2 linked regions of the Nothobranchius furzeri genome follow. The protein of the gene in region 1 interacts with the protein of each later gene in a biochemical or structural test. Links are inferred from orthologs where the notes say so. Each region holds a gene or a part of one and is shown on either strand. Other genes may lie near its edges.

Evidence for each region.
Region 2: the proteins of disks large homolog 4 (region 1) and ctnnd2b interact in a test that uses a peptide from one of them, tested with the Homo sapiens proteins (2 studies listed by IntAct, with this or other methods). The link is inferred for Nothobranchius furzeri from reciprocal best matches to the Homo sapiens genes DLG4 and CTNND2.

Annotation. Positions count from the first base shown.
Region 1 is NC_091750.1:46,441,625-46,446,154, forward strand, and holds the start of disks large homolog 4, read left to right. Parts: upstream 1-1,690; 5' UTR 1,691-2,551; coding exon 2,552-2,668; intron 2,669-2,759; exon of another isoform or gene 2,760-2,846; coding exon of another isoform or gene 2,847-2,888; intron 2,889-4,530. UniProt on the Homo sapiens protein: Postsynaptic scaffolding protein that plays a critical role in synaptogenesis and synaptic plasticity by providing a platform for the postsynaptic clustering of crucial synaptic proteins.
Region 2 is NC_091751.1:61,421,789-61,426,209, reverse strand, and holds the start of ctnnd2b (catenin delta-2b), read left to right. Parts: upstream 1-1,378; 5' UTR 1,379-1,668; intron 1,669-4,421. UniProt on the Homo sapiens protein: Has a critical role in neuronal development, particularly in the formation and/or maintenance of dendritic spines and synapses. Involved in the regulation of Wnt signaling.

The sequences.
Region 1 (4,530 bases):
CTCCAGCCCTCTAGGTTTATCAAGTCATTTCCTTTAGTTACAGCCTTTCATGATTTATTATGTTTTTTTTTCCCATCAGTGTTTATTATTTTTCTCCCACCCTCCCTTTGAATTGTAGTCATGTTTCCTGCTCTTTTGTATTAGGTTTTATTCTTAGGTCAAGTGAGTTTCTCCCCTGATTAGTCATTGCCTTCACCTGGTCCTCCTCCCACACCCCACTCACCTGCAGCTCATCTCCCTCTCATCCTCCCTGTGTATTTAAGCCCTGTCTTGTCTCAGTCTCTTGTCGGCCCATTGTTTGTATTCTGTCTGCGTTTGTTTGTGCTCTTTATGAGCTTTTTGTCTCGTCCCCAGACTTTGTGCTCTAGGTGAGCTTCTGTTTCAAAGTCTTTGGTCTTCGTGCTCTTTGAGAGCTTTGGGTGTCCTGTGCTCCAGGACTTTGGACTTTAGGCTCGTTGCCTTGGATTTATTTTTGTTAAAACTCTAATAAAATAATTTTTTCCTTATATTTACTCCTGCCTCATGTCCTCCTGGGTATCTGCATATTTGGGTCCTAAACATCCCCGAAACGTGACAAGTTTCTCAATATGCGTACTTGTGAAACGTCACTGAAAATGGCATCATCATCAACACTGGCCCAAGTATTGTTCCAATCTACCATGGCAAGTTCCCTCAAGATTGCGTCAACGCAACCTTCTGCAGACTTGGGCCTGCAAGGACAGTGGCTTGTAATTCATCATGCTTAGGATTACAAACCGTTGTACCTCAAACTGAAAATGGCATAGGAGAAAGCTCGTAGCTCTAGAGTATTCATGTCAAAAATACAAATAATGAAGTCTAGAAAAATAAATTAAAAGTTGTTTCTTATTGTAGATAATTGTCCATCCATCCATTCATTATCTGTACCCGCTTGTCCACGCAGGGTCACGGGGGGCTAGTGCCTATCTCCAGCAGTCTACGGGTATAAAAGCGGGTACACCCTGCACAGATTGCCAGTCCATCGCAGGGCAACACAGAGACACACAGGATAAACAATTAACCATGCAAACATTCACACCTAAGGACACTTTAGAGACACCAGTCAACCTGAACGTCATGTTTTTGGACTGTGGGAGGAAGTGGGAGTACCTGGACAGAACCTGTGCATGCACAGCGAGAACATGCAAACTCCATGCAGAAAGACCCCAGGTTGGAATGTAAACCTAACGCTAACAACTGTGTAGCCCACCATAGATAACTGTGCGTGTAACCCATACATTTGCTGTGTGGGTTTTATAATACCTCAAAATGAAACTTAGCTCATCCACTATTAAAATAAAACCAACGTAGCTTTAAACAGCTCTGTTTGATGAAAAAGTAACATATTTTTCTTCAACATGCCGTGACGTAATGGAGTACGGTTCAGATCCAAATGCCGTCCTTGTACCCCCGTATTCGTTAGAACGGACTTTCTCCTGTACTTATCAAGAACGCACTTGTCAGTTACTCAAGAACATGCTAGCATAAACATCCCAGTTTTTACGTTGTGGACTTAAAGAATGCTTGTGACTGCACACCTCACTTCCAGTTGTTACTGCTAGGCGTTCTGGAAGATCACTGTTGGTCCATGAAACCCAAATGGTCCCTGAACATCGATGATGTGGACATTACCATCTTCCTGTGGAGAAGAGTGAGTTCAGATTCATCTGAGCAGCTCATCAGTGCCGAGGAGAATCACGGCTCCTCTGCATCAGCGTGAGCCAGCTGAGATCATTGGCACATCTGCTAAGGATGTCCTCTGGGTACCTGTTTCCAGCATGACCCACCAGGAGGAGGCCTCCAAACAGATTTAGTAGGAATGGAGTAGTTAGATTTCCTAGCTGGTGTGGGAATGCTTTGGTTTTCCCTCGGTAGGGCTGGAAGAGGTCGCTGGGGAAATGGGGGGAGGTGTAGGGATCTCTGCTAAGGCTGCAGTCTCTGCAACCTGGTTACATATAAGACCATGGATGGATGAGTGCTTCAGTCCTTCCTCTGTCTCGCTCACCTCAGAAAACGTCTTCCACCAAACCTTAGAATTTAAAAGTTTTAGCAGGACAGCTCAGAGTGTTATCATCCCAACAAACCATCCTGTTAAGATTCTCGTGGGAATTCTGCAAAAGCAGGACAGACATCAATGTTGGACCAGTTTTCTGTAGGAATCTACTTTTTCCCCTTCGGGAGAGACTAGACTGGCTCCAATAATGGCCAAAACTTTGTAGTCGTTCAGGATCTTCGAGGAGGATCAGCAGCATGAGTCTGATAAATGAAGACGTGTGAAGGAGGATCTGCACAGAGAATAAAATGATATGGATGCACAGAAGTGTCAGAAATCTGCATGTTGAATATTTATGAAACAAGTTCCCTCTTATGTAACAGACACTTTTCTATGGGCTCTTTATTTCTGACATTGTTTCAGCGCAGGAGCAAAAGAAAGAGGCAGCGATGATAACATACTACGGAGGGTTGATTCACTGTCTCTACGTCTCCTCTCCTTGTCCCTCCCTCACTCATCGGCAGCAGCCAACATATTTTTATGAGTCACGGTCGGAGCAGACCGCTCGTCCCGTCTTTTCAGCCTCTTGCCTTTAATATCAAGATATATCCAACAGCAACAACTCTGGCTTCCAGGAAAACTCTCGCTCCTCGTCTGGTACGACACGTCCCTCCCTCCTCTTGTCTCGCCCTCCCTCTCTTTTTATTTCCTCTTCCCCTTCCCCAGCCTCGCACCCCCCCCCCTCTCTCTCTTTCTTTCTTTCTTTCTTTCTCCCCATCCCTCCCCTCCTTTACTGCGGGTGTCTGGGAGGCTGTTTTTCCTCTGTCTCTTGCTCATGAAGGGCCGCACTAAGCTCCCTTCTCTCTGCCCATGTGTGGTAGGTAAATTCACCTCTGTGTTTGTGACGTTCTTCTCTTTTCCATCTCTCTGTTGCTGCCTCTGATTTGCATGTTAGCTCAGAGTCTGCAGGCTTGAGGGGAGCTCCGTGTCTACATGTGTGTATATTGCATCGAACATGCTCGTCATCACGCTCGTCATGGAGAAATCACAAACATGTGAATGGGGATTTGGTCATTCCTTCATGTGCATTTTCCACGTATGAACACGGCCTGACACATGTACCGGTGGATCAGGGAGCATGTTCTGAAATGCGTAGGGAGGAAAACTCCAGCAGACTTGTTGATTAAAACATTGTTTGTTCCATTTAACGGCAGGTTATGCCGTAGCTTTCTTTTGTGAATTAATCACGTTGGTGTGCATTTCCATCCTACAGACCCCAGTCAGGGCCAGGTATAAAACTGTTGTGGCAGGAATTTGATATATGATTGGTGTTTATGTGCGGAAGGTGTTATGTTGCCTGTGTAAGCCTGAGAGGGTTGGTTTTAATGGGGAAGCAGAAGTCAGCACAACACCGGATGTGAAATGAGGGTTTAGGGACCGTCCACAAACTGCAGCATTAATATTCAGCAACATCTATGTCCCATCACTGAACCCTTATTAGATGTTTACGAATCGTGTTTGTGTTTCCGTCTGATGTCGTTGCATTAGTTTAAACGTTTGCTGAAGCTTCATCTTTGGTTTTTGATGTGGCTCCTGTGGACGTTAAGCTCAGAGAATGGTTTGTTTTGATTCAAATTAGACTGAGTGTAGAAGGAAGGTGACATTATTGAATTTCTTTAAGAGTTATTGGTACCATTATCTAACCTGGACCGTCCCTCCCTGCAGGAATACTCCTCAGTTTTGTCCCTTTGCCGGGTTTCTGCTGTTGCCACGTTGTTCTGTTGTGTCATGGGTGATTCTGCAGGTTGAGTGCTTTGCAGTCTTGTTTCTGATTTTATTGTATTTCTGGTACTTCCTGTTTTATTTTGTGCATTCACTTCCTGTCTCATTACAGGCAGCTTCACGACATGAGGCTCCTCACTAATCAGCCTCATGTCTTGCACCTGGGTCCTGGCTTCTCCATTTAAGCGTCTTTGCAACAGTTTCCTTTGCCAGTTTGTCTTCTCCTGTTGTGTGATGTGAACCTGCTCTCAGAAACACTTGGTAAAAGTGTATTCAGTTAGATTTGGACTTTTCAGTTGTGTTGTACTCCAGGAATCCCTTCTGCTTATTAAAACTGGGTGAGCTCTGCATTTGAGTCCTCTTTGTGCTTTGATATGTTGCTTCTTTGTGGTCATTACCTTCATTGGGGAGATTTTGGTTTTCCTCTTCAGAGTTTTTGATTCAAACAAAAAAAAAATGCAGCATTAAAAGCTTTTAAACAACTCTGTTTCCAGCTAGATTACAAATCACTCCCCTCAGGCCTTCTCCTGAGGGCCATTAGAACCTTTGTGTTTCCGATGTTTTGATCCCGTTTCTGATGATGTGGGTTGATGTGAAACTGCCTGGAGGTCAGATTCTGAGTCAGCTGAATCTCCAGACCTCCATCTCTGTTTAATCTACTGTCGTGGCCAAAAGTTTTGAGAATGACACAAATAGTAGTTTTCACAACATTTGCTGCTAAACTTCTTTTAGATCTT
Region 2 (4,421 bases), on another chromosome or scaffold:
TGTTGTTTACTTGTTAAATTTACATACTGCCTCATTATTTTATGCACGTTTTTAGTGTGATTTTATAAGGGATATTTTGTTAAAATAATGATTTTTTTACTGTATTTAGGTCACTGCCGCTCTTGCACTAGCTGAGCCTAGATTTTAACATGTACTGTTTAACCATGAAATTTAAATGTAGGGTAAGACCCAGTGCATTTAACATAACGCTGCGTTTTTGAAAATGTGTTGAGATATGACATGTTTGTGGAGCTGGGTTCCGACTATCGGTATGGTCCCCTCCCCTCAGCGGCAGCTCGGCGCATCTCTGATCGCAGCGGCGCCTGTCCAAATAATATCCAAAAAGGAACGCACAAATGCTTCAACTAATGGTCTAAGTTGAGAGACTGAAAATGGCGGAACAGTTTTCAGGCGAGGCCGAGGCTCAGGCTGAGGCCTTTCCCCAGCGCTAGCGCTGCAGTCACGTGGGCCTGATGCTCATTAATTATTCAGAATTTTAGGCATTTAATACACTTAAACAGAAGAGTGACAAAATTCTGCCCCCTCAGAGTTGTCATGAGTGTAAACTAGATCATTTAAACCTAAAACAAGTTTTGGAACCAGGCTGTGAACATGTTTATTTCTGCTGTGAATTTGGTACTTTTAACATGGGAGTTAATGAGGATTTGCTCGCTTCTGACACCAGCCCCTAGTGGATGAGGGTAGAACTGCAATTTTTTTCACTTCCGTGTTGGCTTCAGTTTCAGACCCGAATTATGGGGGCTTGTGTCAGACCAGCGGAAGGGGCACAACGCAGTTTAAAGTACTATTGCCATAGTAACGTCCACCATTGACAAGAACAGTGGTGGTCGGACAAAATGAAAATTAAAATACTTTTATTTAGAAACTTTTAGAAAATGTAGTGGAGTAAAAAGTACTGATAACTGCTTTAGTGGAGTAAAAGTTTAAAGTAGGCCTTTTTTATTCGATTGAATAATTTTTTCATACTAACACAGGAAAAAGGGAAAAAGGATCATAAACCTATCTCAGCTTAACCCCCCCCCCCCCCCCCCCTCCCATTGAAAATCACATACATCGGGACCAAAGCCTCGACTTAAGAGGTGCTCAATGTTGTTCTAAGCTTTGCTGCCATGGAGCAAACACTAACCAGCTGTTGCACGCCTGTGGCACTAACAGTTCTCCATATATAAGTAATAATCTCCATCACCAGTGGGTGTCGCTGCTGACGCTGGTACCCAAGCGGTCTGCCAGTCTGTCTGGCACGGATGGGGAGGATGTTTTATTGTGAGCAATGAGAGAGAGAGAGAGAGAGAGAGAGAGAGAGAGAGAGAGAGAGAGAGAGAGAGAGAGAGAGAGAGAGAGAGAGAGAGAGAGAGAGAGGGAGGGCGCGGAAGGGAGGGGAAGCACCTCTGCCGCTCTCCTTGCCTCCTGTGCGCAGTGCTCCGGCCCAGCCGCTCCTACCTTCCCACATCATTTCCTCCCCACAGCTGGCGTCTCCCCTCTGTCTGATGCAGGCTTTCTTCTCACTAACCGAGCTGGAGCAAAGACTTCGGAGGGGTGGAATGACCGTCTGCCTGCTCTGCATGGTCTGAATCTCGGGAAATTCGCACGTCGAGAGTCAAGTGGGAAGAAAGGAGACTCTCCATCCCCGAGGGATTTTATTTTACAGTAAGCAGGCGCAATGTCATTCCTACCGCTTCCTCTTCTCGCTAGAGCCCGTCTCTGCACCTCTCATCTGTTCAAAATGCTTGACGGGAAAATTGTTGGAATGTGACAGCCTGCTGGGAATATGGCCGGATGTAGTACATGAGTGGATGAGTGCGCCAGATGTGTTTTTAACAGATTTATTTAGCGCCAGTTTACTAAAACGTGTGGTGTGAATGGTGTCTTTGTAATTCTCGTGAAGCGCTGATGGGATTTTGCGCGCTTGCGTTGATTCTGCACTGAGAACGGGATCCCCCCCCCATTTCATCTCAGCTGGCTGTGCATCAATCCATCCGAGGCCGGAGTGTGTGGGGGTCGCAGCGATGAGCGGGGGTTTGCTGTGGAAACGCTTTTACTTTCTGATTGACCCAAATTTGAGCGATATTCGGGAGATTATCGCGCGTGACAGCGGCCCAACGTGCTCTGGCTGCGCGTCTTTGTGCCTTTGCAGAGAGACGCTTGGACCTTGTAGCCTATTTTTTGTTTCCCTCTGCCGTCATGAAAGCATGTGCACGTTTATGAAGTGCACCTTGCTGCATGAGCTCCAGCTCCGTGGTGATCACTAAAAAGACTGTTTCTGATCAGTAGCAAGCTGTTTCTCCTCTTCACCCTGGAGTAATCTCACTCATCACGCAGCCAACGCCGGGTTTCTGTTTTAGCAGAGATCCTCAGAACGTTTGCTCCTTGGAGCTGTCTTAGATTGTTTTAACTGTCCTCTTTGTGCTTGAGACACGCCCTTCAGAAGCATGCAGGTTACTCTAGCCATGCTCAGCTCCATGCTCTTATTTCATTAATCTCTTGGGTTTTTAGTGTTGTTAAACATTTGACATGCCCAGTAAAGATGTCTCATCCGCTATATGTCCGTTATGCTAAGGGAAACATGGCCGAGTTTGGCGGTTTATTAAATGATTTAGACCAAAAGGTGCATAGCAGGCAGGTGATAGTCCAGAAAGGTGCAAGGATGAAAAAAATACCTAACAATTAAAAGTGACAGGGTGATAAAGACGAGGATCTGGTAGTGGACGTGCAGATGAGTGAGTGCAGGTGAAGGATGACAGATATGAGTAAGAGGTACAGGTACAGATGAGCTGAGGAGAAACAATATGAGCCCTTTTGACATGTTTTATTGAATGTAGACAGTGTGTTAAATCAAAAATCAGCATGCGGAAATTTACGTGACAAAACTATGAATGTATAAGAAGTTATACAGTAATGATTATATTCAACAGAATTATAATAGTTTCTTATATTGTACAGCTCTAAATGAGAGAGTAGAGAAAGTCTACTGTGGCTGCATCCCATTTAGAGGTTCTGCTCATTAGTATTCGAACAACCAAAGTGTGCAGCCACATGTTTGGAATGCTGCCCTTGTTAGTACATGTGTGCTTCTCCTCGTCTTGCCAGTGAAAATGGGTCCGCTGAAAAGTGAACACACATTAAAGGCCGTGGTAGTTTTGCTCATTCATGCATGAATTATGACAGAGGTCAAGGGTGGACCCCCCCCCCCCTCCTCCACACACACACACACACACACACACACACACACACACACGGGCTGCACGGTGGCGCAGTGGTTAGCACTGTTGCCTGGCAGCACGAAGGTTGCAGGTTCGAAACTCGGCTCAACTGCGGCCTTTCTGCGTGGAGTTGCGTGTTCTCCCCATGCATGCGTGGGTTTCCTCCGGATACTCCGGTTTCCCCCACAGATCACAACATGCCCTATAGGTTATAAATTGTAAGTCGCTTTGGATAAAAGCGTCTCCTAAATGAATATACATAAACACACACACACACACACCCTCTCCACCCCAACCATCCTTATTCATCTTTAGGTGCAAAACACATACGTTTAAACTGAATTTGAACTTTGTTTCCTTCAAAACTTTTTTTCAAATATCCACTCAAACATGCATTTAGATTTGTGAAAAATCGACAAATTATTGACTCAGCTGCCCTGGGGCGCACTGACAGGGGCGAGGCCACCGGCCACTCCCTTTCCAACCACCATCGGCAGACAAGGGGGGTGTAGGGTCTTGCCCAAAGACACAACCTAGCCATGAGCGGGGCTCGAGCCTTCAACCTTAGGATTACTGGGTAGGCACGCAACTCTTCTGCCACCATCGCCCCATAATTATCTTAATTAAATGATAAAAATGCCATTGAAACTTAATTCACAGACATAATTAGCAGCCAATAAAGTGATGCACTAGAATCAAAGTGGTGGCTTAATTGCAAGTATCCCGACAGCTTCTGTCTGACCATAGTGCATGAAAGGGTTAAACATCAGGGGATCTGCTTTTGAGTGTTTTGTGAATTTCAATCAGTCAAGTCACTTTCATGAAACAAGGTTAGAAGATGTTTGAATTAGCAAGTTTCAGCATGATGCCCTGTTTATAATCTAGTTAAAAGCTTTTTTAGCAAGCTTTTGGTGCTGCTAAAGTAGGCTAGCGGTCCATGCCAGCTGCGTTGCACGGTTTATTCTAGCAGGTGAGTATGCAACTGGTGAAGAGCTCTGGGCTGAAGTGTGAAAATCCCCTGAATGTAAATGGAGTTCAACAAAATATCTGTAAAAAACGTTTAAAACTAATTATTTTGTAATGATTACTTTAAAGAAAACACATTTTAGGTATAAATGTGGAACACAAAAAATTCCACAAAATAACAAGAAATACAGAAGAGATCATTAGAAAAATAATTCAGGAGTGCTTTAGGAAACC